2 linked regions of the Drosophila melanogaster genome follow. The protein of the gene in region 1 purifies or fractionates together with the protein of each later gene. This does not show direct contact. Each region holds a gene or a part of one and is shown on either strand. Other genes may lie near its edges.

The links.
Region 2: the proteins of Nup93-2 (region 1) and RYBP purify together in Drosophila melanogaster (affinity purification with western blotting, with the first as the bait; one study listed by BioGRID). This does not show direct contact.

What each region holds. Positions count from the first base shown.
Region 1 is NT_033777.3:14,895,203-14,900,197, forward strand, and holds Nup93-2 (nucleoporin 93kD-2), read right to left. Parts: upstream 3,171-4,995; 5' UTR 3,086-3,170; coding exon 2,925-3,085; intron 2,867-2,924; coding exon 2,686-2,866; intron 2,633-2,685; coding exon 1,251-2,632; intron 1,245-1,250; exon of another isoform or gene 1,189-1,244; coding exon 522-1,188; 3' UTR 501-521; downstream 1-500. Other genes in the region: CG14860 (uncharacterized protein), read left to right, coding at 1-484; CG3817 (uncharacterized protein), read left to right, coding at 3,551-4,381; VhaPPA1-2 (vacuolar H[+] ATPase PPA1 subunit 2), read right to left, coding at 4,437-4,995.
Region 2 is NT_033778.4:22,668,762-22,675,305, forward strand, and holds RYBP (ring and YY1 binding protein), read left to right. Parts: upstream 1-1,825; 5' UTR 1,826-2,345; coding exon 2,346-2,484; intron 2,485-2,868; coding exon 2,869-3,182; 3' UTR 3,183-4,451; downstream 4,452-6,544. Other genes in the region: CG13516 (uncharacterized protein), read left to right, coding at 839-1,094, 1,163-1,292, 1,384-1,504.

The DNA of each region.
Region 1 (4,995 bases):
GAACTGCTCCTCACGATCTCCTCCAGAACGACTGCACTTCTTTCCCTCGAATCCCGAAATGCGCAAGGCATGGATGGAAATATGTCGGCTTACGGTGGACAACAAGTGGCTGTTTATTTGCGGCAGACACTTTCGCCGGACTTATCTGCCAAACAAGGGAAACCTTAGAAAGGACGCCATTCCAGAGTTCCACTTAGGAACGGAGGAGGAGGATCCCCTCGGAAAGAGCATCAAAAGTATGAAATCATGTGCTAATAGAAGTAATATCAGTTTCAAGAGCGAGGATTCTGGCATTGACGAGGAAAGCTTTAAGGAGAGTAAGCCTCATAATAATCCATGCGCCAATTGCCTTGATCTCCAACAGCAATTGGCAGCAGCTCATCTTCGCATTCAGCAACTTGAGGAAAGAAGGCAAGAGGAGACAGACAGTGATGATGATGAGGAGGGGGAGGAGGAGGAGCACATATTCATGCTAATGAAGTAGACTATTGCTTCCCTTTATCCCTTAAAGTATATTTATTTTAGTGCATATCCAGTTCGAGTTCAATCAGTCGCTTGTTCGTGTCGTTGGGCAGGCGATACGGCATAGTTGCTGCCATGTTGGACAGGGCTTTGGCTCGCTGCCGGAGTTGCTGCATCTGGGTCTGTTCCAGCGAGCTGCCTGATCCTGCCTTCAGCTGCTTGTACTGCTTCTGGGCGATCTCCATGGCGGCCACTATAACGTCGGGCAGGACCTTGATTACCTCGCCGCTAAGTTGCTTCACATTGCCCAGTACAACATCGACATCGTCCAACGTATTGGGCACCAACTGGGTTTGCCTGAGCAGATCCAACGCTGCATTAAATTTTCCGTCATGATAGAAGTTGAAGAAGATAAGCAGATCCTGCAGCAGCACAAAGCTGCTCTTCATCTTGGGTTCCACATCGATGCTGTCGCTAGCCAGCAGCTGGTTGAATCTCTGAGCGTCTTGGCCAAGGCGTTCCCTTAACGATCCACCTAGCGTGGGCAGGTGCACCACCTGGGCCATCAGAATGCAGATGTGCTTCACGGCCAGGTTGTACTTGCCCGCCATTTCGTACAGCCGCGCCGACATCTCAAAGTTACCCAGCGCAGCCAGTTCGTCGCCCACCTGAGCGGCCATGGTGCGCGTGTCGAACTCCGGGCATTCGAACTGGCGGAAGAGTCCACTAAAAACACAAGAGACTAGACTTTAGACTGACTGAATAAATGTAACATTGCATATAATCACCTGTTAACATCGTTTTGGTCACTCGACTGCCGCTTGCCGAATATCAGATCGAAAATGGTGGTATCAAAGACTCCGCTGTCCACCACAAGATCGCACACACAGGCCATAAACATGTTCCGGCCCTTGGAATCCTTCAGACAGCGCAGTGTGTAGTAGTAATGCAGCGCCTCCGAGGTGTCTGTCCGCTCAAATCGCTGCACATACTGTCGGATAAGCCGAGTTAGGTTCAAGCGCCTCAGTGGCTGCGGATCTTTAATATCGATCGAAAGCAGGGGCTGCGACACACTGCGCGCACTGCCTAGAAGTCCTAGCTCAAACAGCGCTATGGCCATGTGAACTGCATGTGCCCGATTTTCATCTTGGCGCGCCAGGAACTCGATGGCGGCTTCAAACTGGCCGGTTAATGCAAGGGTCTCGAAGTAGAGATACGGCTGCTGCCTAGCATTGAAGTACTTTTCACCATACTGTTCCAAAATCATTGACTGCAGTTTACCATAGTTGTCAGCGTCACCGGGCTGTATCATGGCCAGCCGCATCCAAAGGAAGTCGTCTATGGTCTTGGCCACTTCTCCGTGTACTTCATTGACATCGCAGCCCAAAAGGATGCAGTAAACGGCCTTCTTATAGGCATCGGTGGAGTTGCGTATTTTGTTGGCGTACTGCAGTCGCAGTTGGTTTTCTATTTTGGAATTGGTTTCGCCGGCATTGCGATCTGCAACGAGCTGGGCAAACTCATCGTGGCTACTGCCCGCTTCGCGCAGGAACTCAACCGCCACCTTAACCGCTCCGCAGCGCAATCCGTAGTAAACCAGCGGCCATAAGGGTATTTCGCGGACGGTGTCCACAAGTCCGATGGTCTGCTGTGCTCTGAACCGGTGGTTTACATAGGCCACAACCAACTGATAGCTGTTGTTGGCATAGGATCCACCGACTTGGGAGCACATGAACACACGATAGCGCCGTTCTAGGTACGATTTAGCATAGGTAACAAACTCCGGTCTTTGCTGTCGGCTCTTGATGGGGTCACTGCGCAGCGGCTCGCTGATTTGGGTGACGCAAGCCAGCAGGGTCCACATGTCCGTAAGCCGGCAATCTCCGAAGCTCTGGGACAGATGAGCGAACTTTTGGACGAGATTGGGTCGATGGCTGCTCTTAAGCAGCAGTTCATTGTAATGCCGCAACTCTTGCGCATACACTAGTTCCAGCGGATCGAGGCAGGAACGTGGCTGACAAAGCGGATTTACGATGGTGGGTTCCGGCAGCCGTTGTAGGTCGATAAAGTTCTGTGACGGCGCAATTAAGGCGTCCAGCAGGCGGGTCTTCTCCTCGTTCCATACTTTGTTCATACTGGCCCACCTCTGCTTGTTCGCAGAGTCGCTGATCTGCGAGTATGGGAGAAGTCAACAATGTTTTGACTATATGGTTCATTACTTACATTCTTTTTCGTGTCCTCGATCACCGAGAGAATTGCATTCTCGCGTTCGTTCTTCAGGAATGTGCGCACATCCGTGTCCGCCTTTACGTCTAGCGGCTCGAAGGTTTTCCGGGCACTCAGCGCCTCCAGCTTCTGGTTCAGCTTGGGCAGGTCCACGCCCTTGGAGCCCAGCAGTATGTGACTGGTGAATGAGGTTCATATCGATTATGGTTCACTTTAATTCAGTATTGTTTACTCACGCCTGGATCTCTTTGCAGCCGGTTTGGGTGACGCGGGAGTGGAGCTCCGTGGTGGCCCGCAGGACCTGCTGAAGCGTCCGCTCCACGGCGGGCAGCTCGCACTCTGCCTTCGCGTCATTGTTCAGGTTCTGGGCGCGCTGCAGCAGAGTGTTCAGGTCCATTTTTGCAAATAAATAAAGTTGAGTCCAAAAGCAGCGGCAAGATCAGTGTGACCAGATGTTGGCGCCTCAACTGTGTTAGAGATGACAGTATCGATTCCGGTACGCCTGTGCAAGCAATTCCTAGTGTTGTATAATAGATTAACAAGGAATTTAATGAATATGAAATAAATTTAATATTATTTCCATTAAAGCATATTCGAAAATTTGCTTTAATTCATATATTTATATTTGCTTTAATTCATATATATATATATATATATATATATATATATATATATATATATATGTATATATATATATATATAATTATCAAAGTTATAGTTTTAGTTTTTCAGTTTTTTTCAATATAGTTGCTAATAGTTTTGCCGATAGTGCTACCTGTAGTTTCCACTTGCCATCTCTAAAAACGTGATAAACACGCTTGTTTTGTTTTTAAAGTTGGATCCACTTGCCTGCTTGCAAAATATGGCTCTTTTGACTGAGAAGCGTGTTAAAAAGACACATGCTCCTGCGAGCGACAGTTCTCCGGAGGAATCCGATTCCGAGGGCAGCCAGAATTCAGCCAGCGAAGCGGAGGGCAACGCCGGCTGGGCGGATTCCATTCAGAAGGTCCTGAAGACCACCAAGCCGAAGACCCAAAAAAAAACCGTGCTAGCTCGAGCCAAAAAAAGCCAGGCGGCTGTGCGATTCCAGAAAGACGCCGCCAACAAAAAGCCAGGATTCGATTTCGAGATCGAGAAAGCAGATGTCAAGGAGGAGGACGAAGGCGATAACCATGAAGACGAGAAGCCGCAGGCCTCTGCCTTGGATGCCACGCTAACCAAACAGCAGCGTAAGAATGTGCCCCTCCAGCTGCGTGTGAAGCCCAGTTTCCGGGACATGGAGCGTGAACGAACGCTCCGCAAAGTTGCCACTCGTGGAGTGGTGCAGTTCTTTAATGCCGTGCGCATTCAGCAGAAGGATCTGCAGCAGCAGCTGGAGGAAGCGGGTCCGCTGGACAGCCGACAGGATGCGGTGCTAAACAACATCAACAAGCGAAAGTTTTTGGACGTCCTGATGAGCGGGAAGCGCGCCAAATCCACACCCGTAGATAACGCTGTAAAGAAAGAGGAACAAGAAACGGATGACGACGACGAAGACAAGGGCTCCAGCGGCAAAAAGAAGTCCGAATGGAGTGTGCTGCGCGAGGACTTCATGACCAACAAGAAGATCAAGCACTGGGACGAGGAAGACGACGACGAGGAGGGTCACAATGATGAAGCTGATGACAGCGATTACGATGATGGGGAAGAATAGCTTTAATTACCAAATAAATGTTAGCTTTTCAATTAAGTCGCGTTTATATAATGGTCTAATTAATGGTTTCCGCCTTGGAGGTCATGTAGATGGCCACAATCAGGCCAAACAGTCCGATAGCCGAGCCAAAAATCTCCACAATGAGGATCTTGACGAAGAGCGCCGAGTTGGCCGCATCCGCCAGGGCAGCGCCGGATCCCACGATGCCCACAGCAATGCCGCAGGCCACGTTCACCATTCCAACGCAGAGACCTGCCCCAAAAGTAGCGAATCCCGTAAACATATTGGTCGCCATGACCGTGCTGTCGGTGATCAGACGCACGCTGCTGAACTTGTTGACGTTGCCGGACAGCAGGATGGCCGTGATCAGGCCATAGATGGCCACCGCCTCGCAAAAGATGACTGAGATCAGGTTCTTGGTCTTGATGCGAGGCGATCGCACTCCGCCGCCCGCCACACTGCATCCAATCATGTAGATTCCACTGGCGGCGCCCAGAACGGACAGGGCGCAGGCGAGGAAGATGCCCATGCCGGACCACAGGAAGGGATTCGAGGTGTACAGGAACCAGCCGAGCCCCATGCGCTCACCCATATTGACCATCACGTTGGCGAAG
Region 2 (6,544 bases), on another chromosome or scaffold:
AAAATGTTTCGGGGGCGACCTGTTCATGTGTACATATTTTCTTCAAGTAATTAGTTAATAAATGGACTGCAGCACGCAAACTGAACTAAAGCGAAGTATTTCGTCATTACAAGTGACGCTTTAAGAGCTTTAAAGTGGCATAGAATTACTATTTTGTGTTAGCGAAATTAACCCAGTTTTCAAATAAGTATAATATTATTGATGACCTAAATATTTAATTTTAAATTTGCTCTTAAAAACCAAAGTAAACTGGTTTTTTAACTTCAATTATTAGGCCATTCTTGGTTAAGTTATTCAGTAATTTTTTCGATTTAATTGCTGAAAGCTTTTTTGCTTAATGTTAAATTATACTCTGCTGACTATTACGCCCTTGGAATCCTATATATCAGCTTTATTTGCCAAAAGCCTAACTAATTACTGACTATGCTGAAGTGGCTATCTGTATCTTTATCGGACATCCTATTCCCGTACCTGAGATAAGTTCGATAAACAATGAAGATCATTGTGTGCACTAGATAAAGCTCGGTAAACAGTATTCGAGAGATACTTTCGGTTTTGCAACAGCCCCAAAACTGATTGCTCAACCGGATGGGAGCTTTTCCAAGCTCGCTCCGATCTGAGCCGAAAAAAAACTGAAACTGAATCTCTACCTGGATCCAAATTCGCTGGCAGTTGCGAGCGGCGTTCGAAGTGCAAAAGACGCCGTCTAGTTGTAAATACGCAAAGTAAACAACTTTTTTTTTTCGCTTAGCGAGAACCAGAATCTCTTAGTCATTTTAATAAGTCGAAACCATACCCGAACTTCGCACTAGAGCAAGGGTTTTATAGTGCGTTAACCATGGATCAGAAGCGAGCCATGCTTTATCCGCAAGTGGATTTCAACGCCCCGACGGCCCCCTCGCCGACGCCAACGAGGGAGTTGGGCAATCCCATCGCCAACGGCCTGCCCATCGAGGCTCCTCCGTCGTACGATGTGGCGGTGTCTGTTCCGGTGGCTCCAGCGGTTTCCGCACCAGCAATCGCCCCAGCACGACCACCGCCAGTGGTTGTCGTGGAGCAGCCAGCCCCACAACCACCCACAGTGGTTCCAACAGGTGTGTAGTTTGCACATAGTTATAGTTCGGCTGTGAAGCTCTACTGACGTCACTCCCTGCTGTTGCAGATACTCTACACTTGGGTCCAAATCGAAGTAGGGTTCTCTGCCCAGCCTGTGGAGCCAACAAAACTACGAGGATGACACACACGGCTAACTCCAGGACCCATATGGTGGCAGGTCTCCTCTGTTTGGTCGGGTAAGTTGAGTTTCTTATAAAAAGGAGTAGAGTTTATCTGCTTATTGATTTATCTTAAATTTATATATTTCATGTCTCATCCTCTTTAAAGATTCTGCTGCTGTGCCTGTTTTGTTCCCTATTGCATGAACAGTTGCCGCACTGGAAACCACTATTGTCGCAAGTGTAACACCTTCCTGGGAGCCTACAATCCAAAGGGGATGAACCGATGATAAGACTGCCAAGATAAAACGTGATCTGGGGGCTAGACAGACAGAACAGATACAAGTTATAAGTAAACACAACGCAGCTGATGCTTGCCAGCGGCTAAATTAAGGTTGTATGTACATAGGCCATTGGCTAGAGCGCAAGGCGTCAAAAAGAATCATCATTGGTCATTTAAGCATATGTGAGGTAGCTTAAAAACAATTTAATAAGTTTCCCAAATTCTTCTTTACCCATAAGCACCACTATAGTAAACATAAGCAAAACCGCTTACCTTCCCATTGTTGCTGAAGCAGCTGGCCTTTGGCTGGCTAGAAAAATAAAAGCGTGGGCGTAAGCTTCACAATAAAATGCAAACACAAAACAATGACAAGCCACATTTCAAAATAAACGTAGTTTGGCGCCCAATCGAAAAGTGAGTTGCCAGATCAGCACCATACGCTAGCCAACACTGGCTGCGCGCTACTATCGAAATATCGATAGCCTGGCATTGAGCACTTCTACGATATGGCAATGTTGCCGCAGCCAAAAAGACAATTGCAGAAAGTTTTTTTCACAACAAAAAGCCACCGAAAACGCTCCAATTAAGCAACAAATGCGTGCCAAAAGCGCAGCGAATCTCCACTGAGGCCACCGTGTGTGCGTGAGCGTGGCAAAGGTGCGAGCAGAGCAACCAAACATCACAGGAACACGGCCAGCAGCAGCAGCGGATCAGCAGAGGGGCGGGCAGAGGCAGAGGCGGTGGCAGAGGGAAAAGTCGGGCATTTTCATTGGATTCGTTTTGGTCCGATTCGATTGGATTGCGGTTACTCCAGCGGCGCCCAGGCGTTCCTCCTCTCCTCCTGTATTATGGACAAGAAATCCTCGCCGGTGCGACGACAAAAGCGGCAGGCGAAGGTGATCGAGGAGAACTTCTGGGACTGCAGCGTCTGCACATATAGAAACTCGGCGGAGGCCTTCAAGTGTCGCATGTGCGACGTGCGGAAAGGTAAGTGACCCCGATTTTGCTTCGTTTTCGCTTCCGAGTTCCAAGATTGAGCAGATTGCCAGCCATGTTCCGATTTTCGCTTTCTTGATCATGTGTCATGGATCGGTTTGTTTATCCTTCTACAAGGATACACACACATCGGTATTAACAATATTGGAATATATCTGGTTGAACTGTAGATAGTAATAGTCAAAAAAAGACTGTTGACTGTTGATTAGATGGCCAACGATGGTATCGATTTGCTTACGTAGAATAAATAAATTCACACTGCGCAGAAACCGGGAATACTTCTCGAAACGATAAACATGCTAATTGAAACAATTTTAAACTATTTATATACTATTTTTGGTGCGCTCAATAAGACTATACACCCTTGTTTTTTAGGAACCTCCACGCGAAAGCCACGCCTGAACTCAGCGCTAGTCGCCCAGCAGGCCGCCACTTTGCCAGGAGCCAGTGTCAACATGCCCAACGGGAAGTCCGCCTCCGGATCACGGCATGGCAGTGGGCACGACCGGCAGAGGCACAAGCGGTATCCGGCACGGTTGAAAAACGTGGACCGATCGACGGCACAGACGCGAGAGGTGACGGTCAACTCGGTGACCGTGTTCATCACAGAGTACAAGGCCAAGCCGGTGAGCAGCCGACGCGAATCCAGTGAGCAGAGCTTCAGCGAGAGCAACGACAGCCGGAGTTAGAGGAGGGATACAAGGCCTCCTCGCCCCCAGCTCCCCAATATTCTACGCCACGGTTCCCGCTCCCCTGTTACAAGTTGTAAATTCTAAGTGTTAGGCCCCTGGCGATAACAATTGTAAATCGAAATCCATTTAAGTTACCAAGTATTAGGCCACGTTTAAAGCCCCGAAAGCCAAGCCCCCACTAGTTCATGACTTCCAGCCCAGGCCAAGATGGCAAAGCAAAGCGAAGCGACGGCGAGTCGATTGCATTTACACGACGCTCTCCAAATCCCATTTTAAAATGCGCTAGACCCTGTAAATAGCGATGCATGAGTTCCCTGAATATCTCTGTCTCGTATCGTAATTTTAGTTGTAATTTAATTCTGCTACTCTAATTCCTAATTTATTGATGCAAAGGTAACTATGTATAACCGCCGTGTACATGTTCAACAAAGATATCATTTGTTTTGTAAGTGTCGAATTAAAATATGGTTTAACTAAGTGCAAGTTAATCTCAATGTTCCACTAGCAGCGCCCATCCCCCATGGTTTGTGTAACTATTATAAACTGCCCTTTTTTTTTTGACTAGAAAATGCTGCTTGACAACGAAGTGTAGCGAGAAGAGAGCCACGTAGCTTGGTTGTAGACAATTTGCTAATTTTAATTTGTTTGTATACAAGACTGATTAAGCGTTACCAACCAGATATAGAGAGGTCCGCACACGCACCCAGCCCGAATCCGATTTTCCTTTTGGTTTACACCCGAGATAGCCTCACAGCCAGCAAACAATAGACGAATACTCGAACTCGCAAAAAGAGAATTTTGTACTTAGCAGAGCTTAAACGCTCTTCCACCATAGCAATAATTACTTAGCAAACAATGAAAAACATGAATTTTGATATGAACGATTGTATTTAATATTGGATAACAGATATAATGGTTTATAAAGTGCTTGATATTTGTATTTTGAGATAGATTATTTAGCCACACATGAACACTAACACACACCCACTCGAAACTGCCGACTGTAGTCAAGAAACAACTTCCAATAGACAAACTTCAATTTGGATTATCGTAAACATGTACAATTAATATGAACAGTTTGTATTCCAAATGCTTGGCCAGTTGAGCATTAATCAACAGCAACGACAAAGACAAAGACAAAACTTAAGCAAACGCAATTAAAGCCGCACTCACACGACAACACGGATAGTTAAAACTTGAATTCCAATTGTAAAGCGTAAACTTTTAAAGCATTATAAAATACATTAAATAAATTTCGAAAATGCTATTCCAAGGAGTCGTTGTCTTCTCTCCCGCCCTAAGATGAGTTCAATTTAATATTTTTTATTTGGGCTTATCCAACTTGCTAAACTTTTGTTGCCAAGTTTTATTTTTGATTCTTTTTATGGCTGACATTCGGCTTAAACTTTAAAGGTCTTTAAAGAGCAAGGCAGCAGCGAGAACCACCCCGGCTGGATGCCAGTACATCCACCGTTTCCCCAGGACCCAGGACCACCCACGCATCGCCTTTCCCCCATCCTCCCTTCTGTGTGTGAGTGTGTTCCGAAAGGGGGGGGGGGGGGGGCGCAGCCCGAGCACCATCTGTATCTGTATCAGAGTATCTGCTTACGCGTGCTCCCGGCCTCCAGTTTTTGGGCCTCAGATCAGAGCAGCGCTTCTGCCAGAGTTTCGGTTTCAGATGCACGGAAAACGGGAACAGGAGATGGTGCTCGAGCTGGAGCTGGAGCCGGAGCTGGAGCCACTGTCTCTGGTCGATGGCTACGCCTTTGGCAGCTGCCTCAACTTTTCGCACAGAGCCGGAGCACATCGCACGCTTCGCAAATAAATTACAAATTGTTTCGTTCCAGCTATGCTGGCACAGTCAAACTATACTAACATCAACCCGCTTTGTGTAATGTATGCTTGGATACCTATTAAGCATGTTCGATGTTCGCTAATTGTAAAACTTGTGTTTATGTTTTGATTTCTTCTCAGTTCTTTACTGTTTACCAACAAATTAAAATGTTGTAAATATAAATTTATTTCCCTTGAATTAGCTCACAAGAATGCACTGAACGAGGCTTGACTGTACTTACATACATACACACCCGATTTCATCCACATCCACATCCCACACCCGTAGTTCGCGCAATTCGCTTCAGACTTCTAGCTCGTCGCTCGAAGCTCTCGTCGTTCGTATTTTCTCTAAAATGTTAAAATTCACAGGACCTCCCGGCATGTCACCCCCCGATTTCCATCCCTCTAGTTGCGGCCCACAGGCGGCAGCAGGACCTGCGTTATCAGCGCCACACTCTGTGCGCTTATCTTCCATGTGCGCTTCGTTCTTGGGCTCCAGCTACAACTACAGCAACTCCTCGTCCTTCGTCCTTCGTGGCCCTACGCCTTCTTATCCGTTTGTTTGTCCGTGCTTCCGCCTCATCTGTGCGACCGTCCGCACATCCTGTGCCACCCAACCGGTCCAGGGTCCTTCGTCCTGGCTCCCTCCGCCTTCGTCCTGCGTCCTTGTGTGTAGTGGGAAATTCTCGTTCGTTGGTCGAAGGAGCGAGAAAAAAATAGGCAAAATCAACGTTGCAGCATTTGGAAAATGTTAAAAACTCCTTGCTGCTGCCGGGCATTGCTTTCGCATGACGCATACGCCGCGTTGTCCAGCTTGAGGATCGCCTGGCAAGTAGGAATGGGCGGCGCCTTCTGGGGTGCGACTGGTAATCCTCGCAAGTAACTTGAGCACTTTATGGCACAACGCGCACGTGTGTGTCTAAATCTGTACGTGTGTGTGTGTGCTAGATAACCAATGCCGCGTGGGGGAATCCCCTTAAAGCTGCGATATCTGCCGGTTTTAAACACTCTTTAGGCTTTAGCCATTTTAATTACATTAAAAACTTTAGCTGGCATTAGATAAATTGGAGCCGAAGATGAATCCAAAGCCAAAGCCAAATCTGTAGCCGAAGTCGGCAGCGAACGGCAAACTTATGTCACTTTGATCCTTGCGAGTAACTTTGGGCCAACTCATGCGAGAGACAATGGGGAACTACCCTGCTCCTTGCGCCGCCCCACCCCATCTGGTAATCAAGTTAGTCTTTAAAATTGAAATTCCAGCATTAGGCTAGGAATGCGAGCAACGTAAAACACAATCTATCCGAAAGGGGTGGCTGCCAAAGGGATTTCCGAAGGGGTGGGGGCGTAGCTAGAAAGACGAAGGAAAACTGGGCTGGAAAACGAAAATTTGCTGTCGCTTATCTGTTTCTAATGTGCCACAGCACGTCGAATTTCATGCACCAAGAAATTATTGCTCGTCACCCATTGAAATCTGTCAAATATATCAGATTCGCCGAATAATTAAGAGTACTTATATCCGAAAT